Arabidopsis thaliana: one gene and its partners. The protein of the gene in region 1 binds, or shares a complex with, the protein of each later gene. Each region holds a gene or a part of one and is shown in the gene's direction. Other genes may lie near its edges.

Region 1 (7,346 bases):
ACAAAAAAAATATAGATACATAAATATAATGGAAATGGTAAAAGAACAAAAATAGATAAAACATAGATAAAGGGAGAAAGAAAAGTACTTTTTTACTTAAGAATATATTTCTGTCCACAACAAGATTTGCTAGGACGAAAAATCAGTAACTATTTCTCAATTCTTCTATGTAGCTCTTTAAAATACTAAAGGTCATCCGATGACCGGCATCAAACCCTTATCCGCAACTTGATACGCACGCTTTGTTCCTTTGCGATCATGCGTGAAATCTTCTCATTCTCATGATGATAAACCTTCCTTATGTCTTGCTCCTTAATTTTTTTCTTTGTTAAAGTGCCTTGCTCCTCTTTGTAACTCAAAGCTCATCATTTGTACAAAAATTAGATCATTTTGTAGCCTTTATTATGTTATATATATTGATGTGATTAGTGTTTGTAATTTGATAGAAAAAACGTACGACTCTGAGCTTTACAACGGCTATTTGGCAATTTACAACGGATATGGCGACTTACGCTATTTTACTGTAAAGATTGAAAATGATATTTGTGTGTCGTTAGGTAAAACATTAGTGAAAACAAAAGGTGGATAGACAAGATATGGTCATATCTATCTAACCATACACAGAGACGTTTGCTGCCATGCATGCATGATGCATATATATATATATATGTGGATATAAAATATATTTAATTTATATACACATAGTCCATAGATAGATAGATAAATAGACGTAGAGAGGGAGAGAGCAGGAGACAAGAAGAGAGTAAGCACGCAGAGCTTTCGAGCATGAGCATGCTAGAAAAAGAGCCATGTGTGCTCACTCTCTTCTGTCGCCTTCGTTATTGCTATTCCCTTACCTCCTTTAGTTGACTTGCTTCATCTTCTTGCATGCATATGATTTTGATGTTATATTAGCCTCGGTCCCTAAAATTACTATATGATATGATGATATGATATGAAACAGTTTGTCTGATTTTAGGGTCTATATATAAGGATTGCTAGGGTCTATATATGATGATGCATGCATAGATTTCATCATCATCATCCACTGACCACTAGCTACGTTTAATTTATAGAAAGATTCCGCCGGATTAAACTCTTATTTCCTGTCAATTTGAGCAACAAGATTCTCTCTTTTCAATTATATATACATAACACATGTCTATAATATACGTACAAACCAATAAAATTGGACTCTTAACAAAATTTTGAGAGTGAGAGATCCCACTTAAAACGAAATAAACTATTTGTTTGGTCATTGCATGCGTAAACGACCACTTGAACAATTAAGTATACATAACATAGGTCTAGATCTATGTGAAAGATTCCCAAACTTAAGATCTCTAGCTAGAACATTCATTGATCCTCCAATCAAAAACCAAAGGAATAAAAAGTAATCTTTGTAAGGGCGAATGTAAAACCGAAACGTAAGCTAGAGGAATTGATATTAAAATGGAAGTAAAAGCGAATATTACTAAAGGTTTTGGAGTTAATTAAATAAAGACAAAAGATGCAAGGACAACGAATTATGAACATCTTCGAAATACGTTTTTAATATTGTTTTGGCATTTGATTTGATTTGATTCTCCTTCCACATTCCCTTGTTCATATGTGTTTGTGTCTCACGCAAGCACTACATAAGCGGTCCCCCTAAATACGTTTCTAGAAACGTCAACGTTTATTCAATCATACCAAAATTTACATGTGTATTCATCAATCAGCCGACCATAAACTACATGGTCCATTAGTCATTACCTATACTGCAATTTTTCTAGCTTTTAACAGCCATTATGTACTTCACAGTTTGGAATACTGGTATGACGAAGAAAAGTCGAGGTAAAAAACGTATTAGAATAAATGTTTATCGTCCAAAGATCGCACCAGCAAAGAATAAGAAACCTAAACCAACAAAGGAACAATTAATGGACCCTGAATTTTCTGATGAAGACGTACTTACCAGCTTGGGTTTTGATGATGGCGGTTACATAATACCACTACCGAAAAAATCTCTCATGTTGATTAATCTACCAGATTCTTTTCGAGATGAGTTGCAAACGATGCATGTCAGTTTTTATCTCCGAGAAGTTGGCAAACTTATGTTTGGGTGAGGACAAATATGCTCTAGTGAATAGTACTAAGAAGTTGATGCTTACAGATGGTCTAGGACGGCTTCATTTGTTTTGGATGAATTCAATTTTTTTTCCGAATCAGTATTTGCGAATGAGATTTATGTAGCCCTAGATGTGAGATTTATGAAAGCTGGAAGTGCCAAAAAGAAAGGTGGAGATTTTAATTGTAACAAAAACGCACAGAGTCTTCTTTATGATTTTTTCTTGGTAGATATAGATGAGGAGATATATGGGTCAAAATTTGAAGAGACGGAAGACCAAAAGAAGTGGAACAAAAAATTTTGAATTGATTTGTCTTCATCATATTGTGCTATTAACATTAAACACGAAATAGAGCATCTGAATCTTGAATTCTATGGAATCTCTAAAACGAATAGACAGATCTCCGCGGAGGAAGTGAAATTCTCTACTCATACTGCATTCAAAATTAATTGAGTTTTTCAATTACATTGGAGGTTTATCCTTTGATACTTTCGGTTTGGTGATTTGAATGAAATGTTGGTTTTGACAGAAAAATGAATAACACTTGCATTAAAATCATCAAAAATTGAATAACACTAGAATCTAAGGAGGTGTATTCGATCTTATATTTTAAGTTATTTGAGTTTTTATATAATTTTGATTTTTTAAAGAATTTGGATGAATTTAAGGAGGTTGTTATGATTTATGGTAAAATCCTCTCAAATTCCACCTAAAACCATGAGATTTAAAATTATATATTTTTAACTAAGAAAATCCACTTAAGTCTCTTAAAGTCACTAAAATCCAATCTTTAAAATGTTTTCAATAACAGAAGATTTTTAAGGAGATTTTAAAATCAGTAATTCAATAGCATTAGATTTCATGATACTTTTAAAAATTCATAATTGAATAACATAGGATATGTTAGTTTGAATAAGATATCCTAGGTGTTAATTTACTATTTTTAAAAAGGTAAGATTTTTTTTCATGTTTTTAAAAAATGTGAGAGTTTTTTTACCTATTTTTCTATTAAAATGAAATGTATAAAATTAAAATTTTGTTTTTAAATAAAATTACTAAATTAAATATTACAAAATATGTATATATTACTATTTAGAATTCAAATATTATCGATACAAAATTAAATTTATTTCTTCAATTCGTCTATTTAAGCAAGCTAGTAATTTGATCGACAAAAAAAAAACAAGCTAGTAAAATATAATTAACAGAATTACTAAATCGGCCGGTTTAGGGATTGCTTTCTCTCAGTCGTCAATTGCACTAAACCACTGGTGGTAATATCGCTGGCGTTTCGCAAGTATCACCGGGAATTGCAAAGAAGCAGAGGACCATGTACGGAGACGCTACAAACTGGAATGAAGATGAGTATAGAGAATCAATTTTGAAGGAGCGAGAGATAGAGACACGCACCGTCTTCAGAACCGCCTGGGCTCCTCCGGCGAGAATCTCTAATCCAGACGCATTTGTTGTAGCCTCCAGCGATGGAACTTTAGCTTTCCATTCACTGAACTCGCTTGTGTCTCAATCGGCGAGTTTTGGCTACTCGAAAGGTCAAGATGTTATGGTGGCTGAACCTGAGAGAGTGGTTAGGGCACACGAAGGTCCTGCTTATGATGTTAAGTTCTATGGTGAAGACGAAGATGCTTTGCTACTTAGGTAGAGACTTAAATCTCTCTTTGTTGATTGATGAGTCTTTGATGAATTGTAATTGAGAGTTTGAAATTTTGATCTGGTTATGTGTAGTTGTGGTGATGATGGTAGAGTTAGGGGATGGAAATGGAGAGAATTTGCTGAATCAGATGTGTCTCTTCATTTGAAAGGTGTGTGTGTGCCATTTTTGTGGTTTTTGATATGAATGATGCTTTTTGGAGCTTAGTGGTTGTTTTTCTTATGATCTACAGAGAATCATCTGAAGCCATTGCTTGAACTGATTAATCCACAACACAAGTGAGTATGAGTTTTGTTCATTTTTTATTCTACTTGATAACTCTGTTACTGAAAATGCTATAATTGTGGGTTCAAATGTCAGTGTTCGTAATAGTTGTGTGTATAATCACCATTCTTTTTCTTATAGAGGTCCTTGGGGTGCGCTTTCACCGATGCCTGAGATCAATGCCATGTCTGTTGATCCTCAGGTTGGAATTGTATTTAAATTTCATTGCTTGGTTAGACAGTCTCACAGGATAACTGTTTCACCCTCTCTCACTTCTTTCGTTTTGATAGTCAGGAAGTGTATTTACAGCAGCTGGTGATTCTTGCGCATATTGTTGGGACGTGGTATGTATTTGACCATGATAGATGTATGTCCTATGTGAATCCAGATATCTTAACTTTCTAAAATCATTTATGTGTATCCAACAATTTCAGGAGAGTGGTAAGATTAAAATGACCTTTAAAGGTCATTCAGACTATTTGCATACTGTAGTTTCTCGTAGTTCTGCAAGTCAGGTAATGATGTTACCATAAATATTAGAAATGCACCTATCCAAATCTGAGTTCCACATTTGGATTTTTGTCTGATTGTAGTCTCTTTCTCCAGATATTGACGGGTTCAGAGGATGGGACTGCGAGAATCTGGGGTAACATGCTCCCGACCATATTTCTTTATGCTGTAATTTCTAGTATTAGGTCATACGTGGTTATAGAACTTTTGAAATCATTTGAGTCTTCATGTTGGTACTTAAGATCCAATGCTCCTCAGTTTTGTTGGCTGCTTCTTACAACTCTATGATGATTCATTTTGGTGATTACAGAACTTTCCACTATGTTATGTTTTGGTTCATGTGGTTTACTTTAGTTGTCTAGACTAAGCTTTGTTCGCTCAAGGGCTTCTTTCTGTTTTGTCAACCAGATTGCAAAACGGGAAAATGTGTTAAAGTAATTGGTTCCCAGGATAAAAAGTCCCGCCTTCGCGTTAGTTCTATGGCCCTTGATGGGAGTGAAAGCTGGTTGGTAAGAACTAAGCAACTAGATAATCTAACATTTTCGCAACCTGCTATTTGTTTGAAGGGATTGTTGCCTCCAGTAACCTAAGAATATAGTTCCTTTCTCCTGAAGAATCACTTAGAAGTTTAAATACTGAACATGTATTTACTGTTATTGGTATGATTTTCTCCTCTTTCAGGTTTGTGGACAGGGCAAAAATTTAGCTTTATGGAATCTTCCCGCCTCAGAATGCGTACAAACAATACCCATCCCTGCACATGTACAGGATGTGATGTTTGATGAAAAGCAAGTAAGCAGAACAAGATTAGATTGAAATTTAAGCAGTGTAATTTAAAGCCTTGGGAGGCCGTGGGTGTTATTTGTTTATCAAGGCTTAATAGGTTTATGTAGTATCTCTTTGAATCATCCCTCTTCAACGAAGTTTATTAAAAAAATTACTGACTTTTCTAAACTAGAAACAGAGGTCAACACCTAGTTTTAATTCCTGTGCTAAAGTTTAAACATCTTTTTAAAAATGTTGTCTTTAACAAGTATCGCACTATCAGATTTTGACTGTAGGAGCAGAACCACTTCTAAGACGTTTCGACTTAAATGGAGCTTTGCTTTCTCAAATTCACTGTGCTCCTTGTTCAGTATTTTCCATTTCCTTGCATCCAGCAGGAGTATGTTTCCAATCCCTTCTTTTCTCCCCATTTCCTATATATGTGTTTGCTTTTCTCCCATTTCCTATGTTACTGCTAATATTCTGCAAATATGTTACCCCTTCTGGACTAGAAACTCAATGTTTAACCGTTGATCCAATTCTTTTGTATTTGCAGGTAGTTGCTGTGGGAGGTTATGGAGGTATTGTTGATGTCATCTCTCAATTTGGAAGCCATCTCTGCACATTTCGTAGCAGTTCATTGTAAAACTCCTTACAGTTTCTTGATTTGGCTCGATACCCTAAAGAGGTACCGAAATGTGTCAGTCAGATTATTGCAGAGGTTAAGAAACCTTTTCTTTGTTTTTCTTAGGATCTTGCTCCTGACTAAAGACCAATTAGTTGTTTGGTTAAGTGTAATTGGTTTGTGGTTCCGTAGTTGCTATCAAATTTGAACCATTAAAATGACATTGGACCGGTTTAGTCTGATCACGTACATTAACTGCCGTTAGAGTTTCAATTTTTTGCGAGTCCTGTTTTCTTATGACCACCATTGATCAAATATTTGGATCCATAACTAAATGATTCTCACTCTTCCAAGTAAAATTTTACCATATTATGCAATTTAATACATGGACAAAACATATAGTTTCCATATCCACAAAAATAAGTCCTCAAAAACATCACTAATCTAAACCTCAAACATCACTCCTGATAAGAGAAACCAAACTCCAGCGATCAACAAAACCAAAGAAGAAGAAAATGAAGAAGCTGTGGAAGCAACAATCTGAATAGGGAAATTGCATTGTCCCTGAGATATATTCTTTGTGGTAATGGTGGCCAAACCTTGGAAGATACAAGCATCCTCATCCTGGTTCTTTACTTGAAAATACATGTTAAACGCATATGAAGCGTTCCCATTTGCATCAAGAGTATTGCAAGAAGACCCGTAACCAAGCGCAGTGCAATCCGAAAAAGTGCAGGCGTAATCTATGTTAGCAGCGAGTTTTGTCAAATCTTTGGCTTCTGTATTAAACATACACCACTTCTTAGGTTGATACGTCACGTTCTCGGCACCAATCAACAACTTGTTCTGTCCTTGACCTGATAGATCTATAGGAAACTTTGGTTGCCCGTCGAATTTGAATATTCCCCAGTGGCGTTCAAACTCTCCCGGTGCTATACTTTTCGCATCCTCATCAAGTAATCCAAACAAGTATACCTCAATGTAGGTTGGTCTCAGTGGAGTGCCTCTGTTTTCCCCAAGCCTTGGTAAAAGACCGTTGTAGAATCTGTAAGCACTGCCTGCGAAAAATACGTTTTCAAAACATTTCATTGCATCTAAAGAACTGGAAAATGTTAGATGTCTTACCACTATTTGCGTGTTTGTCACCCTCTGTTGGCCAACCGACTTCTCCAACGATGATTGGCATATCTCCATGACCAACAGCTTTCAAAGCCGATACCAAAGTGTCGAAATTGGCATCGAAAACGTTTGTGTAAGCAATACCATTGTCATCTACTGGTTTAGCACCATCAAAGAAGGCGTAATTGAGTGGAAAATCATCATTCCCATAGAGGCTTAAGAAAGGGTAGATGTTAATGGTGATGGGTGCACTGTTATTGCCAAGAAAGTCAACAATCTGAGT
Region 2 (8,009 bases), on another chromosome or scaffold:
TTTTAAATAGTTGTCTATGTGTGCTAAAATATTTAAAATTTTTAGAGACAATAACCTCAAATTCTCTAGAATTTAAATTTTCCTAAAATACTTCATATACAGTTTTTTTTTTCATTTTTTTCATATACAGTTTTAAGATCAAATTCATTTTTCTATTTATATTATATAAACAAAAAAAATTAATTTATTTTTTCTTCCTTGGTTTTTAGGTTACCAGAAACAAAGATCAACGGAGGTGATTGTTATAAAGGACACAAGTACAGATCCAAACCTCATCATCGTTAGTTTCAGAGGCACTGATCCTTTCGATGCCGATGATTGGTGTACAGACCTGGATCTCTCTTGGTAATTTTAGTTTCTTTTGTTATAATTTATTTCCACACACAAACAGTCTAGGTTTTTGTTTTTATACTCTTTAAGTTCATCCTTTAGCCCCCCTAATAAAACTAGTATTGATTTCCAAAATAGGTACGAGGTTAAGAATGTGGGAAAGATTCATGGCGGGTTCATGAAAGCTTTGGGCCTTCAAAAAGAAGGATGGCCTAAAGAAGTAAACCTTGACGAAACCCAAAACGCAACAACTCTATATGCATACTACACTGTTAGGCGTCACTTAAAAGAAATCCTCGACCAAAACCCGACATCTAAATTTATATTGACCGGACATAGCCTAGGTGGGGCTTTAGCGATCCTATTCACGGCTGTTTTGGTGATGCATGATGAGGAGCAAATGCTAGAGAGACTAGAAGGAGTTTACACATTTGGACAGCCACGCGTAGGCGACGAGGAGTTTGGAAATTTCATGAAAGATTCACTAAAGAAGTTTGACGTGAAGTATGAAAGATATGTTTATTGCAACGACATGGTTCCTAGGTTGCCTTTCGACGACAAAACACTCATGTTTAAACACTTTGGGGCATGCCTTTACTATGACAGTTTCTATAAAGGAAAGGTTGGTTGCATATATATGACAATCTTGTTTCTTTGCTTTAATCACTCATCCGTCTAATGTCGCTTACGCACTTACCCTACTGATGATATCTATCTACATTGTTGTTGTTTAATTTGTATTATGTTCAGGTAGAGGAAGAGGAACCAAACAAAAACTACTTTAATCTCGTATGGGTTTTACCAAAGATAATGAATGCACTGTGGGAGTTGATACGTAGTTTCGTCATGCCTTATTGGAAAGGTGGAGAGTTCAGAGAAGGATGGTTCTTAAGGTGTTTTAGGGTTGTTGCATTGTTGATTCCTGGATTACCTGCTCACTTCCCTAATGAGTACATCAATGTTACTCTTTTAGGTGACTTACCTGACTCGCATCTTGATTAAATTTTGACGAAGTCATAAATTCTTTTGAAAAGTTGATGTGTTTAGCTTTTCTAGGGTCTCGTTTCGGTGATGTAGGTGTTATTTTCTTATTTTGGCCTTAGATCATCCTTTCTTTCTCGCAATGATTCTACGTCTCACTTTATCTTTATCTGCATCAAGAAAAGAAATGCATAAATATTTCAATAAATACTTAGTGAAACGATTCTCTTACCTGCGAGTTATACACACAAGCAAACCAATATAACAATCAACAAATAAATCATGAAATAAATCAAACCAATGAACAATCATCCATTGACACAACCATCTCGGGGGATTGAATAATGGTACCAAAAATACTGCCTATACATACAACAAATAAATCACACAATCTCAATTGCTTAGATAATCTCATGGTCACATACCCACCTCGAAACAAGAATGATTTTGAAACCAAAAACAACAATCCCACAACGAGCAGTAACTTCCTACTCACCAACAATATCTCAACTCACCATACATCCAACTACAACAGCAAACCAACCTTTAACCTAAATTGGAAAAAATCTGAAAATAACCCAAACAATTGGTCTCAAATATTGAGTCACGAATCGCAATCTAACCGTCCAATTCAAATCTCCACCGTTGAAACTCAACCCTCAAGATGTCCTGAAGCTAACCTCAAAGTTTAGTGATGATCTGACCGCAGGTGCACTCGAGATAATTTGTTTAATACACTCTGGTCTAAATCACGTCTGAAACAGAGGACTTTACGAAAACACAGATAACTTTTAGAATATTAACTCAAATCCAAATCCGCAAAGTGGTAAATCTAGTTATAAGGCTTAGCTACAACTCAATAAAATTTCCGTACCATAGAAGGCTATTTGATTGATCAAACCTCTGTTCTACCACGACATATCTGATATGTCTCTCTCTTCCTTCACCAAAATTATCAAGTAGTTTCCTTTTTGGTGTTTTTTACATAATATTTTTGATATCAAACCAAATTTTTTCTTGTCTTTATACAGAATTTTCTGAAAAAAAATGTTACATAATCTCTTTTACGCAATTATCATCCCATCATGGAGTAGATATAATATTTGTAACAAAATATAGTTTACATAAAAATCATAAATAGTTTGACAAAAAAACAAAGAACAAAAAAAAAGAAGAAGAGAAAAATCATAAATCCTGTCAGAAGTACCGGAGCGAGCCTGACTGGAGAAATCGAGAATGGAGGACGGCGAAATAGAGGAAGGAATGGTAACTGCCGACGAATTCCCGACGCCGGAAGTAACTACCATAGAGACTATACAACCTCCCCGAGAGCCAGGAAAATCTCCACTCGAGCTACTTCGAGAGAGCAAAACCTCCGTAGAAGAAATCGTCGCGAAGATGCTCTCCATGAAAAAACAAGGAAACCACAAATCTGAGATTCGAGAACTCCTCACTCAAATGTTCCTCAACTTCGTCAATCTTCGTCAGGTACTTACCAATCTTCTCCCTCCACCTCTTTCGCTATACGATACTTATTAGGGTTTTTTTCGCAGGCGAATCGGGCGATTTTGACTGAGGAAGATAAAGTGAAAGCGGAGACGGAAAGAGCAAAGGCACCTGTTGATTTCACGACATTGCAATTGCATAATCTTATGTATGAGAAGAGCCATTACGTTAAAGCTATCAAGGCTTGTAGAGATTTCAAATCTAAGTATCCTGATATTGACCTTGTTCCTGAACAAGACTTCTTTCGTCATGCTCCTGAAGCTATCAAAGATCAATCGCTTTCAAGTGATAGTTCTCATGTTTTGATGCCTAAGAGACTCAATTTTGAGCTTCATCAGGTTGGTTAATCATCACCATCTCTGAAATTCATTCAACGTGATATAATGTTTCATTACCTTTTTATGTTTTTTGATTCAGAGGAAAGAATTGTGTAAGCATCGAGCGAGATTGGAGCAACAGAAGAAGAGTTTATTAGAAACCATTGCGGAGCGTAAGAAGTTTTTGTCGAGTCTTCCTCTACACCTTAAGTCTCTGAAGAAAGCATCGCTTCCAGTACAGAACCACTTGGGTATACAGCACACAAAGAAACTGAAGCAGCATAATTTAGCTGAGCTGCTTCCTCCTCCGCTTTATGTTCTATACTCACAGCTCTTGGCACAAAAGGAAGCTTTTGAGGAGAGTATTGAATTGGAGGTAGTTGGGAGTCTTAAGGATGCTCAAGCTTATGCTAGACAACAATCCAGAAAGGACTCAGGTAAGTTGTTTTGAAAATTTACTGTGTTTTCTAATACTAAAACGAAAAGAATGCTAATTTGGTATTGGTTTTTCAGGTATGTCGAGTAATACAGAGAGTTCTAGGTTGGAGGATGATGGACCTGATGACGATGATGATGGACAAAGGAGAAGAAAACGACCCAAGAAACTTACTAGCAAAGAAGGTTCTGACAAGGCAGGATTATATCAAGTCCACCCTCTCAAAATTGTCCTTCACATATATGATGATGAGATACCAGATACAAAATCCTTGAAACTTGTCATTCTCAAGTTTGAGTACTTGCTGAAGTTGAATGTTGTATGTGTTGGCGCTGAAGGCTCTCAGGATGGACCAGAAAAAAACATATTTTGTAACTTGTTTCCAGATGACGCTGGACTTGAGCCTCCTCATCAGGTAACTTTTTGTTTCTGTGTTTCAGTTTTCTTCTACATGTGACTTTTGATGGCTTTACTTTTAAAAATGCATACTCAATTCTCTTTATATGGCCGGTTTTCCATGCAGTCAACCAAGCTCATCCTTGGTGATGGTCAGACGTTTGATGAGAACAGAACTTCAAGGCCTTATAAATGGGTACAACATTTGGCGGGAATTGATATTTCACCGGTTTTATTAGGCCAAGAAGCTCATAACACTGACCCAGCTAAAAGTGATACGTTTGTGCCTGATCTTTCATTGTATCGCCAGCAGCATAGAGTGCAAACAGTTCTGCGAAGAATACGCTTGCGGAAAAAAGCGCATCTGGCTCTTGCGTGAGTTCACCACTCTGTATGTTTTCCGTCTTAATTAAAGAACACGATGCAAAGAATTCCAGAAAATTAGTAGACCACCATGATAATCAGCATATGGTTTGTACATTTAATAGTTTGGGTTTGTCAATAACTTGGCGGTCAATTTAATCCCTCTGTAGCATTGTCAACTTCGTGATAAGAGCTTCTATAGGTAATTATTTCTGTTGATATGTTTATTTTTGCTGAATACTTTGGAAACTTCTACTGGCTACAGGGAACAGCTTGATTTGCTTATGAAACATGAGTTACCAGTGGTGAACTGCGAAGATGCTCCTTGGGCACTGCATAAGGTTCTCTGTGCTTTGGATTCCTGGTTACATATACAATCTTCAGCTAGTAAGTCATGCTCTCTGACTCTGAACAGTGTGGAACAAGTTCCAGAACCTATGGAAATCGATGTAGATGGAAGATCTATTTCTGGAAAAGAAGATTTTGAAAGTATACGGGAAGATGGAGAACTTCCCTCTTTGGTCACGGCGGCTGCTTCGTTAACCAGTTCCAATCATACCCCATCGAAAGTATCTAATCAAGCACGGTCAAGGCAGTTGGCCTTGATGACAAAGAATCTAGATTCTCCGATTAGCAAAGGAAAGTCCCCAAGTTTCAAGAAATACGAAGATGATTTGGATCTTGTTCTGGACGATGATAGTGAAATAGATGAGCCAACCGGAAGAACTGAGGCGCATGTGGAAGAGTTATGCCCTGAGAAAGCTGATAATTCATGGGTGGATTATGGTTCGAGAGAGTTTGCGCTTGTGTTCTCCAGGAAAACAGATGGCGGAAAGTTGTGGAAGTTAGAAGCAATGGTAACTTCTAAAACACTATCTTCTAATACGGTATCTTCCCTATATCTTTTTCTTTCTTAAGTGTTAAATCGAGTTGTATTGGCAGGTACAAATTAGCATGGAGTATCCTCTTCGACCTCCTTTGTTTTCTCTGTCTCTCCACGCATCTTCTTCATCAGGAAATGAAAATGGGACAAATGAAAGTGACCATTACAATGAACTTCGAGCAATGGAAGCAGAAGTAAGTGTCAAACCCAGTAACATATACTAATCTTTACTCGATGACACCAAAGATAACGCCTTTGTAACCTTTTCGTGGCGGTATCAGGTGAACCTTCATATGTTGAAGATTATTCCTTCAGATCAAGAAAACTATCTCCTATCTCATCAAATCAGATGCTTAGCAATGTTGTTCGACTATTACGTGGATGACCCATCTCCAGATTCCAAAAGAGGAACAGCCACAACTGTGGTTGATGTCGGTTTGTGCAAGCCTGTTGACGGTAAGCTTCTTGTGAGATCATTCAGAGGCAGAGATCACCGGAAAATGATCTCATGGAAGGGCAGAGGATGTGCATCGGGTTATCCATGCTAGAGATTACATCGCCACTCACTTCTCTATATTATCTTTCTCTGGTGGTACAAGCAAAAGTTTTTGCATGTAACATTTTTTTATCGTATAAACCGTTATTGAAACAGCCTACTTGTTGGGTGAGGACCTGGTCTGTTTTAAACCTGGCAATGTTTCAAGTCCAATCCGTTTTAGCCTGCTCTGTTTTGGTCTCGATTTAAGCATTAAAGCCTAGCGGGTAGCTTGGAAACTAGAAAAGTGAAAAAGGGCTCGTCACAGGTTTTGGAGAAAAAAAAAGGAATCAACTCGTAGACAACCGTTATTACAGGTTGCTACTGCAATCATTGACAAATGTTGTTCCTGCAATTGGAGGTAGTGAAGAAAACAAAACCAAATCAAATTGGATATTAGTTTATAACTTTCAAGTGATTATATAGTTTGATTTACTTTAACTTTTAGTTTTTTTGTCATCTTATTTAAGTACAATTACCAAGGAAATATGCAAGTTTGAATTACAAGAGCGGGCGGAAAATAAATACATCCCAAAAACTTAATCCAAAAGAAGGAAGCGAATCCCTAAATTACAGGAAAACTGTCAAACGTAAATTTTTACATATCAAAAAGACAAAGCAAAATCAAAGGCATGAACGAAGACCTAAGAGGAACCACGATTTGCTAAATTCACTCCCATGTCCCAGGAAGAACAAAGCCAACCACAAAAGACAGTGAAATTTTTCGTGTTTTGTTGCAAATGAATCAACACTGAATTTTTTTGATTTATTATAGGAGTTATTTTTGTATATTGCAAATGAATCAATAGTGAAAAAATTTAGCAGCAATTATTGAGCCTATAATATAATTTTATAGTTTTATGGTTGAGATTAGTATGACATTGTTTTCTAAAGCCAAAATAATAATATTTAATAGTAGTATTTTCTGGCTCCAATAAAAATAAGTTTTGGATTTTCCCCTAGACCATGAGAATTCGATCTTTAGGACATTATCAAATGGGTTTAAGAATAAGATGTCTAATAAATAGCTTATTTGGTCAAAAATATACGAAAACAAAACATGATGAACAAAATAAACTCATCATCATCCTCCAACTCGGGTTTCATTGATTCACTTGATGTCCGATTTCGTTCTCCTCAGCTTTCTCTCCGGTCGTTCATGAAGGCTAATCATTCCCTTCACGTATTATTTAGATATACAAAAAGTTAGAACAAGGTTCTCAAGTTTTTAATTGATGTACGGTTGAGGAAATAAGATTGGAATAAATAGATTACTGGTTCCATTTGTCTTTTCCGCAACTCTACATGTTGTTTTAGTAGCTCTTCATAATCTTTCTTTAAGTTTTCAAGTTCAACTTCAACCTCCATAGTTTGAGCCTAGAGAGCAAAAATGAGCAGTTTGGTACTTATAAAACACAATCAATCAAGATGGATAGATAATATATATATATATATATAACATTTTCTTACTTGCTTTCGAGCCCGTGATCTCGCTGCGGATTCTCGGTTCTTAATCTTTCTCCTAAGCTTTTTGTCAACGAATTGTTTTTCCGCGGTAATTTCACTATTAATCTTCCCACCTCTTGTACTAGTACTACCATTACTAATGTATGGAGATGGTGAGAGTAATGAAGACTCACCGTTAATCTTTTGTTTCCCATTTAATGTTGGAAATGGGGTAACCGGTGAACATGTTATGGCTTCACTTGGAATTGTCGCAACACTTGGGACCAAGCTTCTCTTCGTATCTTGGAGACTTTGGTTACCAGATCCCAAGGAACCATTTGAGAATCGGATTTGTTTTCCATAAGAATAACCATTTGGCATAGACATGATAGATTGTTGTGGTTGATATGTTGACATAGATCCATTCACATTTTGATGCAAATAAGAATCATGACTCCTTGGAACCATATTGTTCATAAAATCAGAAACCATGGCTTTTGGCTGAATCTGAACACCCAAACTAGTGTGTGGATTACCGGAAATCGATGACGATGAGTCATGAATGGAGCCACCATTGGTATTACCTCCTCTTGCTCCAGCACGGATGAAAAACTCTTCAAGAGTGATTTCCCCTAAGGTTTGTTGTCCCTGAAGATGAGTAATGTTTGTTACTCCTCCATTGTTATTGGTGTGTTTTTCCTCTGTGATAGATTTCCAAACTTCACCAACATTTTGTTTGCTAAGTGTTGGAGGCAGAGTAGTTGAGCCTTGCCTCTGCGACCCCTCTTGTGTTTCTTCAGCACTTGATATATGCTT
Region 3 (7,117 bases), on another chromosome or scaffold:
TCGCGCAGCTGTTGTTTCTTGTACATATCATGGGTTTCCTCCTATAAAACAGAAACCGAGTGTGAAAACTTTGTAACAATAACTGGTTTAAAATCAAAGGGAGGGGGAGAGCTAAAAACAAACCATAGGAGTAAGAAGATCGTCAAGTATTTCCCGAGCTTGCATGAGCCGTGCATCGACTATTTCAATCGGTAATTCTGCTTCCACTAAGATATGAAGTGGTTCATTTAGGTGCTCGTATCCCGGTTTTCCTCTCATCATTTCCTCCTACAAGAAGAAATATATTAACACCTTGTACAAACATTGAAATGTAGATACAAATGAAGTTGTAAAGTTTAATAATAAATACCTTAATTGGATCTTTTATACTTCCTCTTCCTCTTATAAGAACACGGCAATCAGTACTTGCTTCAACTCGCTTCAGGGAGTTTCCTCTAGGACCCAGGAGGCGACCAACAAAATTGAACTGCCATATAGAAAATTAAGGAGTTACATTCCAACCAGGAAGTAGTATATCTCAGTGTAGAAATGAAAGTTCATACATTCGGATAATTGTCGACTGGAATATCGACCCTGATTGTACGCTTGGCGATGAGACCGGACGAACTACCAGGTGAGTTAAGCCAATTTGGTCCCGGAGATGATGGAACAGATCTCTGCAAATGATCAACCAACAAAATTAGAAGCAAGATCAACCTTTAAGCATAAGCACATGAATACTGCAACTTCTTGCCCTGGAACTTCATTCAATGAGAGTGGTCACTGTATCAAGGCATTTCAACCTGTAGCTGTTATATCCTAATAATATGCATACAGTGACCACAGATATATGAGAAAATTATAGCATTAATTTCAATCCTACTCGTGAGGATAGTGGAGTATCTAATTAGTGTTGATCTAAGGTATGAACATACAAACATTACGGATATGAAGTGTTAGCCTACCTGTCATGATAAACTAGGACTAAAAGCAGTCAAATATGTTATGTCAGTATTATAACTTAAGTCAATAAAACTTCTATTGCAGTAGTATGAATTAGAGAGTTATGTTAATGGTTAGTAGTCATACTTCTGATGGAAACTGGGAGGCCCATCCATTCATGTCAGCTCTTGCATTCTGAAATATCCCTCCAGAAGCCAGAGGGCTAGGGTGGTCAAGCCCACTCTGACTTAAAACTGTAGCATTCTCCAACAGTGTGGTTACACGCAAAATTTCTGTTCCAAAAATGTCAATTTGCAAGAGTAAGACGCACCAGTTAGAATTAGTCAACAAATCAGTCACCAAGACACCAATGAATGGAGAGACAGCATAGTTAATTGAGTTAGCTTAAAATATATTTTTGCTCTCACTCTAGTTAAATACACTCTGGTTAAATAGAATGAAGTCAGTATAAGAAATATAGAATTAGTCATTTCGTGATCTACTTCTAATAGCTAACAATTAGGTCTCTCTTAGCAGTACTGTTTAAGAGTTTATCAACTGTATTATAGCTTCATGAATCTGAAGCAAAGAATGAAGTATTATGTGAGATGAAAATACAAATAATAAACAACAAAAACAGTAATGCTCACCTTGGTTTAGTAGCCGAAATGCATGTGGAAGCACAGGCAGGAATGGAGTAAGCTTATGACGCTCTGCAAGTAACTCTGAAAGATACCTGCCAAAACAGAAATTGTGCAGAGTATCCAAATTAGTAAAAAAGCCTCAAAGACACATCAAACTTACAAACAGATACACTCAAATTCACTCTAAATCGATACAACCAGATTCAAATTTCCATTCTTTTGTGAAGTGGATCTAGTCAATCTTCCAAAAATCGTATTTTTTTTAACAGTTTCATCAGCCAAGAACAGAAATCAACAATAACAGAAACGAACACAACCAATGAAATGATCCTCACACACTAAAGACTTATGCTTTACAAAAAATGAACTGGATTGAGACAAATCTGAAATAGACTGAGCTAGTTCCGAAACATAGATCCTAATATAATCAAAAGAAAACAAAAAAGACAAAAATCCAGATTCGAGATACACTATTAAGATCTAAAAATCAAAATCAGCAAAGCAAAGATCAACATACTTCATCAGATACATCAGCTAATTATAAAAGATCACCAAACAATAAAAAACAAAAATATAAAAGAAGATGAAAAACTAAGATTCGATTACTTCTCTTGCTCAACGAAGACAGAAGACTGTGATCGGAGACCACCGGAGTAATTAGGAGACTGAGGAGCAGAAGGAGGCACCGAAAGAGACGACGAATACGTCATAAACCTCCCTCCGCCGCCACCACCAATACCACCACCACTTCCTCCTCCTCCACCACCACCACCACCAAGCGACGACATCATCATCATCTCGAAGACAACAGAATCAGAGTAAATCTGTCGGAGATTAGAAGAAGAAGAAGAAGCGGCGGAGGCAGAACCAAAGCTGTTGTTGTCTCTCTATAACGTCGGTGGATTTAAGAGGTCATTTTATAGAGACTGTGAAATGATTACTTGTTGTTTGCTTAGCTGTTTTTTTTTTCACCTTTTTTCTTTGTTTCATATTTTACCCAATTTTACCGCTCTTCTTGTTAGTTTCTCTCTGAAGACTCTTAACCATCTAGAAGGTTTTTTACATCCGGTTTACTAAAATTCGATTCGGTTTATCTATACCGGAATGACTAAACGCTGCGTTTCAGGAAGCGAAGCTCTGATATTCAGTAGGCCGCGAAGGAAGGTTGAAGAAGAAGAGTTGAGAATTAAAAAATGGAGGAGACGACGATTCCTTTCAAGAGCTTACATAGCAGAGAATATCAAGGTCATAAGAAGAAGGTTTTTTTTTTCTATCTCCAGTCTAATTTTCTGTACTCAATAAAACTTGCGAAACCCTAGTTTTTTGCTGAATCTGGGGGAATTTTTGGATTGAAGGTACATTCAGTAGCTTGGAATTCGAATGGAACAAAGCTTGCTTCGGGTTCTGTTGATCAAACGGCTCGCATTTGGAATATCGAACCACACGGTCATGTAATTTCTTTACCTTTTTGAGCTATGGGAACTTCTATGTGTTTTTGATGATGATGAATACATATGGAGAAGTATTGTAGATTGAGTTAAAACTCGATTATTATCTTTGTCATTGTTACTTTTTGAGTTATGTAGTTTTTGTAATTTGGTTGTTTGTGTGGTGTGTGGATACAGAGCAAGGCTAAGGACCTTGAGCTAAAGGGTCATACTGATAGTGTGGATCAGCTATGTTGGGATCCCAAACATTCAGATCTTGTTGCTACTGCCTCTGGTGATAAAAGCGTTCGTCTTTGGGATGCTCGCAGTAAGTTATATTCTTTTAATCGTTTAGTTTTGCTCCTGAAATATGCCTGGAGCTTGGTTTAGAAATCTGTATATTTTCTAATGGATTAGCTATGTGTCATTCACAAATATTTCTCGCAATCTTGGCCTTTGCTTTTGAGTCATATCGCGGAGACTATTGATTGATGAGGATCGGATCTAAGTTTCTTAGAATTATAAATTAGTTATTTAGCCAGATTCCATAAGAGAGGAATTTGATCAGGTTTTTGATATGTGGCTACTATTGTATGTTTTACTATCAATTGCTGAGATATGTCTTCTTCGAGTTCTACAGGTGGAAAATGCACACAGCAGGTAGAACTTAGTGGAGAGAATATAAACATCACCTACAAACCTGACGGGACACATGTAGCTGTTGGTAATAGGGTATTGTCTCGAGCCCCATATCTTTACACTTTCATTGTTCTTACTGTCTATGGATTACTTGATAGATCCCTTTTCATAGTCGTTGTCCTTTCTCTTACTGGCCAATGTAGGATGATGAGCTTACAATTCTGGATGTCCGTAAGTTTAAACCTCTACACAGGCGCAAATTCAATTATGAGGTAACGTAAGCTCAGACTCATGTTAATCTTTATTAATGGCTTTTTTTTTATAAGGCTCTTCCGTATCTCCTGTTTCAAGCTCATGCGGTTATATGTCACCTAAGTTCCTTGTTCATGTAATAATCGTCAAGTAATTTTCTGGTGCCGTATGGAATGTTCTCTTATCTTTTGTCTTCTTGTAACAGGTTAATGAGATTGCTTGGAACATGCCTGGAGATTTTTTCTTCTTGACTACTGGACTTGGTGAGGATTTTAAATTCTGTACTTTCCTGCACACGATTCCCTACCAAAGATTTCTTTGTTTTTGAACTTGAGAAAATGATCTTACTGAAAGTTACTTTGTATGTTGTCCTGCTCAGGCACTGTTGAAGTTCTTTCATATCCATCTCTTAAACCACTTGACACTCTCACAGCCCACACAGCCGGGTGTTATTGTATTGCAATTGATCCTAAAGGGAGGTAATATATATTTACATTTGTGGGCTGGCCTCTGAGACACGAATGATAATCTTTTTGCTTTTGCATCTAATTCTTCCTCTTTACCTTAACAGATATTTTGCTGTCGGGAGTGCGGATTCCTTAGTAAGCCTTTGGGATATCTCAGACATGCTTTGTTTGAGAACATTTACCAAACTTGAGTGAGTATCAACATGAATTTTCCATAGAGTAGAAAAAGGTTTAATTTCTGTTACATGTTAGTAATTTATAACTATTTCTCACAGGTGGCCAGTCAGAACAATAAGCTTCAACTATTCGGGAGAGTATATTGCTTCAGCCAGTGAAGATTTATTCATTGATATTGTAAGTGATTGCCCAGACTTAAACACTGCTAATTTCAATGTAGTTTCCTCAATATGAGATTAGTTCCTCGTATCTGACCACTAACTACCAAACAGGCTAATGTCCAAACCGGGCGGACGGTGCATCAGATTCCATGTCGGGCAGCCATGAACAGTGTTGAGTGGAATCCCAAATACAATTTACTTGCATATGCAGGTGATGACAAGAATCCCAAGTATAATACTGATGAAGGTACTACCGCGTATTAGTACTTCATTGTTAGCAACAACTCAAAACTCTAATATTGGTAGCAGAAAATGAACAATGACAACAACTTGGATCTCTTTGCAGGTGTTTTCCGGATATTTGGTTTTGAGAGCTCGTAGGAACAGAGCACTGAATCGGGAAACATGATACACAACTCCACTTGATTGTTCCTTGTTGAGTTAGAAAAAGTTTATGTGCCTAGTGTACCTAAATATGTATTGTCAGTATATCAAGTTGGAATAATCTTACAGTATCACTAAATACATTGAAAGTTTGCAGTTCTGAATCTGGCATTTTATTTATTGCAAAAATTTGTTACTATACAAGCAATGTTGTTTATTATTAACGAAGAATGAAATTAATAAGATCAAGATCAGAATTCTAATCCCGAATTACATCAATTTTCTACTATGTGTGAGTACTGCTAAAAGTTACAGGTTGTTCTTATTCCCTCCGGCGAATCTTCAGTCTGGGAGATTTGACAGCTACTCTCTCAAAGCTAGAACAGAGGCCAATGGTAAGATCGGACCAAAAGCATCATCCCCACAATGAAGGTTGAAGAAAGAATGCAGAGTCCTGAGAAAGAAAACACATTTATTACTGAGAGTCCAATTTTGGATTAAAGAACAAGAAGAGCACACGATTTGCTTACCGAACAAACAGTGAATAGGAAGAGTTTGTCAAAATCCGCAGAGGATGAACTTTGAGACCGGGAAGAACAACCCTGCAGAGCAAAGAAGAACAATAGTTATCAAATACTGAGAGAACCAAGTAACAGGTTTCCACTTGATCTCAACGCTTGAACTCTTCATCCTCTTCCCACTCATCGGCTCTTTCGACAAATCAAAGCTCGACCCTTTCATCCTCAACTCCAAAACACACCGTGTAAGCGTTCTATTATCATTCCTCTCCCTATTAACACCTCTGTAAACTTTCCAGAACACAAACAGCTTAGCTTGAACAAGAAACACCAGAACCAATGAAGTAGCTAATGACACTGCAGAAGGTATCCACCATTTCTTGCAAACCGCATTACTTTTCACCACGTCAGCATCATCAGAACAAGAAGAAGAGTAGACAAGTGTGAAGAAGAACCCATGGAAGACTAGGAAGAAACAACAAAGCTGAAAGATCTCTCTTTTGATTGACTCTAGTCTTGATTCTTTAAGAAGAACACGACGACAGAACAAATCTTCTTCTCTTTGCCATAACTTCAAAAGCAACAAATGTCCTGGACTCTCTGAGATTTCAGACAACGGATGCTGCTGAATCACTTTGAGTATTCCCATTCCCGGATTTGAGACCGCAACCAACTGTTGTTGTTGTTGTCTCTCTTTATGCTCTTCATCTACTGGAATCTCCACTACATGAGAATCTTTAGTTCCGGCCATAGAGAAAAAAAAGATTGAGACTTTATGAAGAAACAGAGATCGGAATAGGAAAGCAATTAGAGAGTAAGATGAAGATTGAAGATTTGAGTTCGTTGTGTTTTTTTAGTAAGAATTCCTTTTCTTTCACAAAATTTCAGGTATTTAAATTGTTGTTCTTTAACGGCTATATGTACAACGGTCGGATTGTTTTCTTTTTACGTTATGTTGTTACTGCTGCGATAACATAGTAAGAGACCTTTTCTCACTTTAACGGCTATATTTTCTCCTCCAAAACGCATATAGCCAATATTTGGGCCTTTAATGGGCCGAATGATATGCAATGTGCTTTATAGTTTAACTAGGCCCTATGATTCCATTTTTTTTCTTTTCTTTTCTAAAGTATATGATTCCATTGTTTGCTTTTGTTCCACCACAATTTATAACAAGTGATATATTTATGAATTTTTCTATTACTAAAATAATAGAATAAAGTAACAAATAAGATTCTGTTTTTAATTACTTTCAAAACACATACGCAAGTTATTGGAAATGACATTTTTGGGATTTTGTAGACTTCAACGCAGAAGCCAACATCAAAGGTTTGTAATTTTGTATGTCTGTTATCTATTTATTATACTCAAGATGAAAATAATAAAAACTCTTTATTTACATTTCTTCATTTATTAAAATGCTTTACAAAGCAAAACTTATTAATCTCTGTAAAAACAGAAAGCACCTAATTAATCATACCCAATGTTTAACTACCAATGTGATCGAAAATGAAAATCCAAACAATG
Region 4 (8,751 bases), on another chromosome or scaffold:
TCCGTCTCCTCGTGAACCCTCCCATTATTAACCCTACCAATCGCCGCCTCCGTAACGTTACCACCGCCGCCAAAATCGCAGTTTCTACACTTGTTAGCCATCGACGTAGCGTAGAGACGCTCGACGATGTTATCTCTCCGACGTTTCAGTTCTTGACCATAGTCAAGAGACGCAACAAGAATCGCCGTATCGATAAATGTCCAAACATCAACACCTGCGTTATCCATAACCGATCGGAAATCATCCAAATCCATTATCACCCACACTCCTCCTTCTTCCCCAAATTTGGTTACTTAATAAAGAATTCAAAACGAAAAACAAAAAACAGAGCAAATCGAATTACGTAACCAGATCTAAAAGATGAATCTTTTGATGAATTTGATTCATCGGAGATTAAAAATCGTGAAGAACCAAACAAAGTTTAGATTTCAAATAGTTTAAAAGATAGACAAATAAAAAAAACAAAAAACAGAAGAATCAGATTGGTAAATTCAGATTAAAAAGGAAGACCCTTTACTGTTACGAGGAAGAAAGAAACAGAGGAGGTCGTCTCACATAAGATCAATAATGAGTAAATGGCAAATTAAAAAAAAAAAAGGGAATGAAGAAGAAAGGGAATATTCCAAATTTGAGGCTTTAGAATTTGGTTTGGAGGGTTATTGCTTTTTCTTTCATTCTTCTGCAAGTTTTTTTTTGTTTGGTCCGTTAATAAAAATAATATTCAGACAGAATCAATTAACAGTTTTAGGACAAAAGTAAAAGAAGAAAATGGGAATTGCTTTATTGAGGGATGATGCTCTTTGCCCTGGACAGAGCAAAGCTAAGCAAGTTGGTTTGTTGTGGTTGGGGAGATGAACAGCTCTAGAGAGAGAGAGAGAGAGATGTGAGTGTTTTTCTTTCAATAATGGCGTTTACTTTTTTTAGTTTTTCTTCAAGTGACGAGAAACATTTTACATGTTTCGACTTTTTTGGTTATTGGGCCTCTAAATTTTTGGCCCTATAGCAAGTGGACCCAATATGTCAAATCAATATTTTCATTTGGTCTCAAAGTGTTTGTTTCATGACTTTCATCTCATGAGCCACTGCCACTCACTAATCGTTTAGTGAATTTACGTCGACGGTACAATCAAAACCCCCAAAGAGAAGATCACATCCGAGTTTTTAGGTGTTGAAGGAGGTGTTCGATCCATCAAAGTTTACTTTGTTAGGAAGTAATGTTTATTTATCACTTGTTGAGTGTAGATTATGAATACAATGTCTTTTATGCAATTATTGGAACCTAATATTTATCTCGAACAATTTCGAGCAATTTTTGAAATCTTCAAATCCTTCTCATGTGAGCTATTATGATTTCTTCTGCAATAACATACCATGAACAATTTCGAGCAATTTTTGAATACAGATGTTTTAAATTTCTAATTGATTTGATTCCACACATTAAAACTACGCCATATCCAACATATACAGGCAAAGGTCTTCTGTAAAACTAAATAATGTGAAGCCCACCACCCAACGGATATCATTTTACTATGAAAGGCCCAATGAACATGTTGTTATTCAGTTTATAAATTAAAAATATTTCGGATCCAGATCCAAGCCCGGATATTTGCGGATAATTTGATTGTTGGGAGGATATCTTCCGGATCCGGATCCACCCTAAATTAAAATTGTTCTTCCTCCACTCTTCTTCAAGTTTGGCCTCCGTTTCCAGATTTTTATTCAATTCTTCTTAATCAACTTTTAAAATCCGGCGACTCATAGTCCGTGAATTTTGACCGGCATATCCGGTTTTGGTGTCGTCGGTAAATTCCTCTTCATTGCAGTGGAAGCTGGTTCATTGAGAAATAATGGTAACTCTTTTGGGATTATGAGACTTGTTTTCTTTTGCTTCTTGTTAAATCTATATAGCTTATAAAAACTTGTTTTCTGCAATTTGTGGTTCTTCGCAGGATGCATTTAGAGATGCTATATTGCAGCGAGCTCCAATTGAAACCTTTGCACTCAAGACTGTTCAACACTTTATACAACCTCAGGTAACTCTTTCGAATCAACTAACAATTTCTTCACTCCTTTAGTCTTACTTATTGTCTTTATTGTAAAATTTGACAGAAACAAACAAAGTTGGCTCAAGATGAAAACCAAATGCTTGAAAACATGCTCCGGACATTGCTGCAGGAGCTAGTGGTCTCTTCTTTCTCCACTATTATATTTTCGTGGTATGCGTATATACTTGTTCATTTATATATGTGTGGATTTCTCTTTCTGTTTTCGGGGTTTCAGGCTGCTGCTGCGCAATCAGGGGAGCAAATTATGCAGTATGGTCAGTTGATTGACGATGATGATGATGATGATGATATACATGGACAGATTCCTCATCTTCTAGGTTAGCAATCTCTCTAGTCTGATTTGCATAGTTCGTTCAAACAAGTGCTAGCGTTGTCCCCGTAAAACTTCTTATTCTCTTGTTGTCTATTGCTTATCATCTTGTCCTCACTACTTTTGTCTAACCTCTCACCATCTTCATGTTTTGATTGCTTTGTTAGATGTTGTGCTTTATCTTTGTGAGAAAGAGCATGTAGAAGGTGGCATGATATTCCAGCTGCTGGAGGATTTGACCGAAATGTCTACTATGAAAAACTGTAAAGATGTTTTCGGTTATATTGAAAGCAAACAAGATATATTGGGCAAGGTATTTCTTAAACGAAATCAAATTTTTTCTCGGTTAGTTGTATCTTGTATTTTGACTTGGATGTTGCAATTATTTGCAGCAAGAGCTTTTTGCACGCGGAAAACTTGTCATGTTGAGGACTTGCAACCAACTTCTCCGCCGACTCTCAAAGGTTCGCTATCTGCACCCTTTTCTAGTTCCCTTTGTCAAATATCCATAAGTCATAATCTACTTTTTCATATATAACACATCCACTCTTTTTTAATTCTTTTTTTTGCTTTCACTATTTGGCATACAGGCCAATGATGTTGTATTCTGTGGAAGGATTCTTATGTTTTTGGCTCACTTTTTTCCGTTATCTGAGCGCTCAGGTAAGAAGGGTTTCTCGTGCATATACGATTATTTGGTATGTGAATGTTTAAAAGGTGTGTAACGTTTACTTGCGTGACTTATTCTTTCAGCCGTCAATATAAAAGGTGTTTTTAATACATCTAATGAAACCAAATATGAAAAAGATCCTCCAAAAGGCAAGTGATTTTTTTTTTTCTTATGCTTTTGGTCCTTATCTCCATATGACAATTCTAAAACGTGTTACTTATTCTGTCTATGTCATTGCTTCTCAGGCATTTCTGTAGATTTCAACTTCTACAAGACATTTTGGAGTTTACAGGTGCGTATTAGTTAAAGGAACTTTGTAGGGAACGAATGTTATGCCTTTATCATAAGGGTTGTCTCATAGAACCTCTGTTTGCATATCATGCAAAATCAACATTACTGGAGATAGCATCTCAAATTTCCTTTTGTTAGTTAGTTTATTGAGATAGTTCTTTTCTTACTGAGAAAATTGTTTCGTTTCCAGGAGTATTTCTGTAATCCCGCTTCTCTTACTTCCGCATCTACCAAGTGGCAGAAATTTTCATCCAGTTTGGCGGTATGTGATCTTTGGTTTTTGACTAAATTGCATTACCTGGTCTTGTATATATGTATATGCATAGAAAATTCATGCTGGCGGTAGTGAGAAATCATCTTAGACCTTGTTTCTTGAACTGCTTATGTAGGTTGTTTTAAACACCTTTGATGCTCAACCACTAAGCGAAGAAGAGGGAGAGGCTAATAGTTTGGAGGAAGAGGCAGCAACTTTTAATATAAAGTACCTAACAAGTAGTAAATTGATGGGTTTAGAGGTAAGTATGCTGTGGTTGGACATGCGCACTTCTGAACTTAGCAGTTCACTCACTTTTTTTTCTACCTTTCGCCACAGTTAAAGGATTCGAGTTTCCGACGACATATTCTTCTCCAGTGCCTCATTATGTTTGATTATCTAAGGGTAAATGTCTCTCAAGAATTATTGCACGGAAATTACTCTCTCTGGTATTCTGGTATAACTGAATCCTGTTTCCGTTTAGGCACCAGGGAAGAACGACAAAGATCTGCCATCTGAAACCATGGTCAGTGTTTTTTCTTGTTTAATGAGAAAATTCCTCTTGCTTTCTTTCAAAGGTTCACAAACCTAGTTATATCTCAGTATTCAGGGTTTTATGCATAATTACTCAAAGGTATTGTTTATCTTTTCGGTCTAGAAGGAAGAACTTAAGTCATGTGAGGATCGTGTAAAGAAATTGCTTGAGATCACTCCGCCTAAAGGGAAAGAATTCCTCCGTGCAGTTGAGCATATACTGGAGCGCGAAAAGAATTGGGTATGTGTGCTGCTTTCTCTCTTACCTGCTGCATGATTTTCTGGCTTGTAGTTGAGGGCCGTTAATGATCTTCTACAATACACAAATAACAGGTCTGGTGGAAACGTGATGGATGTCCACCATTTGAAAAGCAACCGATAGATAAGAAATCACCTAATGCAGGGCAAAAGAAACGGTATGGGGAAAAGCTGACCTTGTAATCTAACTGCTTTGTACTCATAGATGGTGTCCGCCATTCGAATTTAGAATACATTACGTGGAAGAAATTGAGAAGATGTTTTTTCCCTAGTGATCTCTGGTCGCTAGTCCATTAAAGTGAGAAACAACTAATAAATCTGCATTACGAGTATTAGGCTCAATATGGGTTATCTTTTGCTTTTACAGGAGACAAAGATGGAGATTGGGAAATAAAGAACTCTCCCAACTTTGGAGATGGGCAGATCAAAATCCGGTATGCATTATTTTTCTTTGCATCCTTGTTCGTTGTTCATATTATGCCACATGCTTCTCCAGCTCTCCTCTCGGCTCAATCTTCATATTACGACTCTACAATAATTGTATATCTGATGGGATAACAGAATGCTTTGACTGATTCTCAACGCGTGCGAACCCCTGATATTGCAGACTACTGGAAACCATTAGCAGAAGATGTGAGCTAACATACTGTTTTCTTTATTTTTCCCAAAGGACATCTTAAAAAAAATGGTTGATGTCTTATTAGCACACCTGATGTTTTGTTAAAATCTCAGATGGATCCATCAGCTGGCATAGAAGATGAGTACCATCATAAAAACAACAGAGTATATAACTTTCCTCTGATTTACAACTTTTTTTTTTATGATGCTTAATTGAATCAGTCTAAGGCAGATAATTGTTACTGTTTTGATAGGTTTACTGCTGGAAAGGTCTTCGGTTTACAGCTCGGCAAGACCTTGAAGGATTTTCTAGGGTAAAATTTTCTTCGATTTCGATTTCCCAATGCTTCATATGATTGCTTTTTAAAACCTTTTTCTTTCTTTTTCACAGTTTACTGAAATGGGAATCGAAGGAGTTGTCCCAGTTGAACTATTGCCGCCTGAGGTCCGGTCCAAATACCAAGCTAAACCAAACGAAAAAGCCAAACGAGCGAAGAAAGAAGAAACCAAAGGTGGATCTCATGAAACAGAGGGAAACCAGATTGGTGTTTCTAATAGTGAAGCTGAAGCTGAAGGAGGAAGGGGTGATGCAGAGACGATGGAGAGTGATGCTATTGCAGACACTCCTACGCCTGAGGAACAGCAAAGACTCGGTGGTTCTGATACAGAAAACGGTCAAGAGGCCGGTCAAATCGAAGACGGAGAGACAGAAGAAGCTGGTCTGATGGACACTGATCTTGATCATCCTCCTATGCCCGTCTCATGAATACGCTTTCAGTTTGTCGACCCTTTCTTCAATGGGGAATCCTTTGGATATGAAGTTCAAAAGTATTGATGTTTAACAAATTATGTTAAAAGGTATTTTCTAAATATGTTTGTATGAGTGCAAATCTGCTAGCTTATTACCTGTCTTTCCATTTCTATATACTCAACAAAATCATCATACAATTAAGTTCTTTTGCGTAATTTATCGTCTAAGTGTAACACTAGACACATATTCGCAGCTAATAAACATTGGATTCAATTGCAATCCACTAAAAATACACTCAAACAAACAAAAAAATCAAATACTTGAGGAACCAAAAGCTAAAAGTGTTACTATTATAGCTATCAACATAAACTTTATGTTTTGCCATCAATATTTATTTAGAATATAAATGAGTGGTTTTTAAGTCGTGTCACGATTTTTAAAGTCCATAAACACCACCGATCTCCATATAATAATAAGGTTTCATCATATGCCAAATCCAATAATACGTGAAACTATACCAGTTCATTGTAGGCTTATTTGGTTATATTATTACTACCTCCAATCATTGAAAATGTATATACTTTGTTTAGTCGTTATCACTTGTCAATGCATATCAAATCACCTTATAAATTTACCCAAATTCACTATTGAATTGTTGATGCACTGTCACATAAGATCACAGTTGTCTTATAGTCGTCGCACTGTTATGACAAAAAAAGTGTCGACTCATATTGAAACAAAAAAAAGACTAAACAATGTTGGCACAGCGATGCGATAAAGAATCGACCAAGAGACAACCGAGTGATTTGTGTTGTCAACGACAAATGAAAAGTTGCCTATTTTTGTTACTTATCGTTTGAATACAAAACCGTAGATCGATCTAAACATAATCCGAATATACTAATTTTTTGTTTAAACATGATTTATTAACAAAGTCATTTAATTATTGTAATACAAAAGGTTTTTGCCAAAACAACAACATGCTACTTTTTCATCATTTTCCCGGAAGAAACTAAAGATACATGTGGCACCGACACTTTTCTAATTTTCTATCAGATCATGTGGCCCAAAGGATTTGGAAACAAACAGTACCTAGAATGCATTCTAATCATAGATATTTATTTTTATAAACCTACTACGTCTTTAGGCATATATTAGCTTAACACTAAAAATTACATATGTTTTTTTATATATAAAGAAGACGAACTCACAACTTTATTAGTACTTTATTGAAATTTAAGAGCAGGTTAAAAACATTGAAAACATCATATATTGTGATTTTAGTGTTACGCAAATATTGTCTAAAAAATACGTTAGTTTTTCTTGACTTAACTTATAGTGTACATATATAGGTATATAGATTGTCGGCAAATGTATACATATGGATGTATGGCATATAAATAAATATGATGTGATATGATAGTCTCAATAATTTGCACATTGTTTTCCACTTGTACATAATATTTTGTGGTCAACAGTACATTAAATTTGTATATGCAAAACAGGAGAAAAGACAAATGGGAAAAATAATGGTGTGGGTGGAGCCTAATTTAATTGTATCTACGCAAGAGCTAGTGAATAGAATTAGAGAATTTAAGTCTGTATCAAGGCAAATGAAAGAAATAAAGAAAGTTATTCCTTGAACATTTCTAATTTTATATTTCAGGTTAATATAAAGTACATTGATAAAACACAGTTAAAAGTCAAAACCAATGTGCTCAACATCCTCTAAGCATTATATATATAGCTTTTATTTTTGTGAATCTATTTTTATTGTGATTAGTATAGTCATCACTCAGGAGACAGAAGAACAAAATAGAGGGAAATAATAAATGTAAAGGGTGATCCAATGTTTACCAAATCTATATAAAATTTTCGTCCTTTTCCGATAAAAAGACTCAGTGAGTCAAAATTATTCATTTAATTTTTCTTACGTCAATTTAAAGTCAATTTATACATTTTAATTTTTGTGTCTACTTTATAAGTACTCAGTATTTTTTTTTTTTGTATAAAGAATTTAACGAAATTACCAACTGTTAAGACAAAATAGGAGTGGAGGACAGAGAGCGCCAAGCGACACACTTTTACTGGGTCCCACATTTTAAATTCATTTATTATCTTTTATTTATTTTCTAAATCTCTTTTTATTTTTTTGTTGGTAGTTTGTGTGGTTTTCTTTCTCTACTTTGGTTTGGTAGTTGATTACTTGAGGAGGTACTTCAATATCTTCCGTCTGTGTCTCTCTCTCTTCGTCTTCTTCATTACGCGTCTTCTTCTTTCTCCTCTTCTTCTACATTAGCCCCTCTCTCTTTAATTAGCTGCAGCTCACCTTTCACTATCTCTTCTTTTATATTGATTGTGAACTTGTGTGTGTGCGTACATTTGGAGTTTCAGAGAAAAACAGTTGGATTCACTCCAATACCTAACCTTTCACCCATCTTCCTCATTACTTCTTCAGAAGAAACTGAGAAATCTTCTCTGCAAAGCTTGTAATTGCATGTTTTGATGGGAGTTGTAACGACTGGATCTCTCTCGACCAACCTGTTGGGTTGACTTGACCCGGTTGCAGACCTCGGAAGCTAGAGATTGCGTGTGTGTGTCTGAATTTGACATACTGTCTACTGTTTTGTCGGTACTATGAATACTGGTGGTCGGCTCATCGCTGGTTCTCACAATAGGAATGAGTTCGTGTTGATTAATGCAGACGAGAGTGCCAGAGTAAGAATTTATATCAAAATTGAAGCTTTTTTCACTTCTTTCTCTCTGTTTTGATTTGCACACATTGTTAAATTTTCGTTGCTCTGTGTAAAGGTTTTGCCTTTTTCTTATTCTGGATCTGGGTTTTACATTTCATCGTTAATTTATCAATTAGGGTACACGATTCCATAATTCTTACCTACTTTTATCATCATGTACAGTGAAAGTTTGTGTCGGTGGGGATTGAATTCTGAGTTTTAGTGTGTAAAAAATCCCCAAATCTAATACTTTGCTTTAAAAGAA

The links.
Region 2: DWA1 (region 1) and THO5 share a complex: the UniProt entries of both Arabidopsis thaliana proteins name them as parts of the THO complex.
Region 3: DWA1 (region 1) and TEX1 share a complex: the UniProt entries of both Arabidopsis thaliana proteins name them as parts of the THO complex.
Region 4: DWA1 (region 1) and THO1 share a complex: the UniProt entries of both Arabidopsis thaliana proteins name them as parts of the THO complex.

What each region holds. Positions count from the first base shown.
Region 1 is NC_003071.7:8,411,776-8,419,121, forward strand, and holds DWA1 (DWD (DDB1-binding WD40 protein) hypersensitive to ABA 1), read left to right. Parts: upstream 1-3,270; 5' UTR 3,271-3,441; coding exon 3,442-3,767; intron 3,768-3,854; coding exon 3,855-3,931; intron 3,932-4,012; coding exon 4,013-4,058; intron 4,059-4,185; coding exon 4,186-4,246; intron 4,247-4,334; coding exon 4,335-4,388; intron 4,389-4,478; coding exon 4,479-4,559; intron 4,560-4,650; coding exon 4,651-4,690; intron 4,691-4,962; coding exon 4,963-5,063; intron 5,064-5,235; coding exon 5,236-5,346; intron 5,347-5,602; coding exon 5,603-5,719; intron 5,720-5,875; coding exon 5,876-5,965; 3' UTR 5,966-6,219; downstream 6,220-7,346. Other genes in the region: AT2G19420 (uncharacterized protein), read left to right, coding at 447-557, 1,804-2,108; AT2G19440 (O-Glycosyl hydrolases family 17 protein), read right to left, coding at 6,389-7,002, 7,070-7,346. UniProt on the Arabidopsis thaliana protein: Acts as a component of the THO subcomplex of the TREX complex which is thought to couple mRNA transcription, processing and nuclear export.
Region 2 is NC_003076.8:17,204,061-17,212,069, reverse strand, and holds THO5 (THO complex, subunit 5), read left to right. Parts: upstream 1-2,419; 5' UTR 2,420-2,547; coding exon 2,548-2,799; exon of another isoform or gene 2,800-2,864; coding exon 2,865-3,155; intron 3,156-3,234; coding exon 3,235-3,571; intron 3,572-3,647; coding exon 3,648-3,985; intron 3,986-4,093; coding exon 4,094-4,341; intron 4,342-4,594; coding exon 4,595-5,186; intron 5,187-5,271; coding exon 5,272-5,406; intron 5,407-5,493; coding exon 5,494-5,760; 3' UTR 5,761-6,099; downstream 6,100-8,009. Other genes in the region: AT5G42930 (alpha/beta-Hydrolases superfamily protein), read left to right, coding at 210-345, 469-952, 1,081-1,332; AT5G42910 (Basic-leucine zipper (bZIP) transcription factor family protein), read right to left, coding at 6,859-6,924, 7,023-7,124, 7,218-8,009. UniProt on the Arabidopsis thaliana protein: Acts as a component of the THO subcomplex of the TREX complex which is thought to couple mRNA transcription, processing and nuclear export.
Region 3 is NC_003076.8:22,720,707-22,727,823, reverse strand, and holds TEX1 (Transducin/WD40 repeat-like superfamily protein), read left to right. Parts: upstream 1-2,724; 5' UTR 2,725-2,758; coding exon 2,759-2,824; intron 2,825-2,920; coding exon 2,921-3,016; intron 3,017-3,190; coding exon 3,191-3,320; intron 3,321-3,632; coding exon 3,633-3,724; intron 3,725-3,834; coding exon 3,835-3,903; intron 3,904-4,088; coding exon 4,089-4,146; intron 4,147-4,262; coding exon 4,263-4,362; intron 4,363-4,454; coding exon 4,455-4,541; intron 4,542-4,625; coding exon 4,626-4,704; intron 4,705-4,799; coding exon 4,800-4,935; intron 4,936-5,034; coding exon 5,035-5,069; 3' UTR 5,070-5,342; downstream 5,343-7,117. Other genes in the region: AT5G56140 (RNA-binding KH domain-containing protein), read right to left, coding at 1-41, 124-267, 350-466, 543-656, 1,069-1,214, 1,572-1,657, 2,172-2,362; AT5G56120 (RNA polymerase II elongation factor), read right to left, coding at 5,631-6,341. UniProt on the Arabidopsis thaliana protein: Acts as a component of the THO subcomplex of the TREX complex which is thought to couple mRNA transcription, processing and nuclear export. Contributes to the integrity of the endogenous trans-acting small interfering RNA (ta-siRNA) pathway.
Region 4 is NC_003076.8:3,064,968-3,073,718, forward strand, and holds THO1 (nuclear matrix protein-like protein), read left to right. Parts: upstream 1-1,610; 5' UTR 1,611-1,847; coding exon 1,848-1,850; intron 1,851-1,949; coding exon 1,950-2,033; intron 2,034-2,109; coding exon 2,110-2,184; intron 2,185-2,280; coding exon 2,281-2,383; intron 2,384-2,543; coding exon 2,544-2,689; intron 2,690-2,768; coding exon 2,769-2,840; intron 2,841-2,966; coding exon 2,967-3,039; intron 3,040-3,129; coding exon 3,130-3,195; intron 3,196-3,291; coding exon 3,292-3,338; intron 3,339-3,527; coding exon 3,528-3,599; intron 3,600-3,726; coding exon 3,727-3,852; intron 3,853-3,929; coding exon 3,930-3,995; intron 3,996-4,074; coding exon 4,075-4,116; intron 4,117-4,248; coding exon 4,249-4,365; intron 4,366-4,457; coding exon 4,458-4,540; intron 4,541-4,749; coding exon 4,750-4,816; intron 4,817-4,943; coding exon 4,944-5,015; intron 5,016-5,114; coding exon 5,115-5,165; intron 5,166-5,254; coding exon 5,255-5,314; intron 5,315-5,391; and 3 more. Other genes in the region: AT5G09850 (Transcription elongation factor (TFIIS) family protein), read right to left, coding at 1-254; CESA5 (cellulose synthase 5), read left to right, coding at 8,389-8,469. UniProt on the Arabidopsis thaliana protein: Acts as a component of the THO subcomplex of the TREX complex which is thought to couple mRNA transcription, processing and nuclear export. Contributes to the integrity of the endogenous trans-acting small interfering RNA (ta-siRNA) pathway.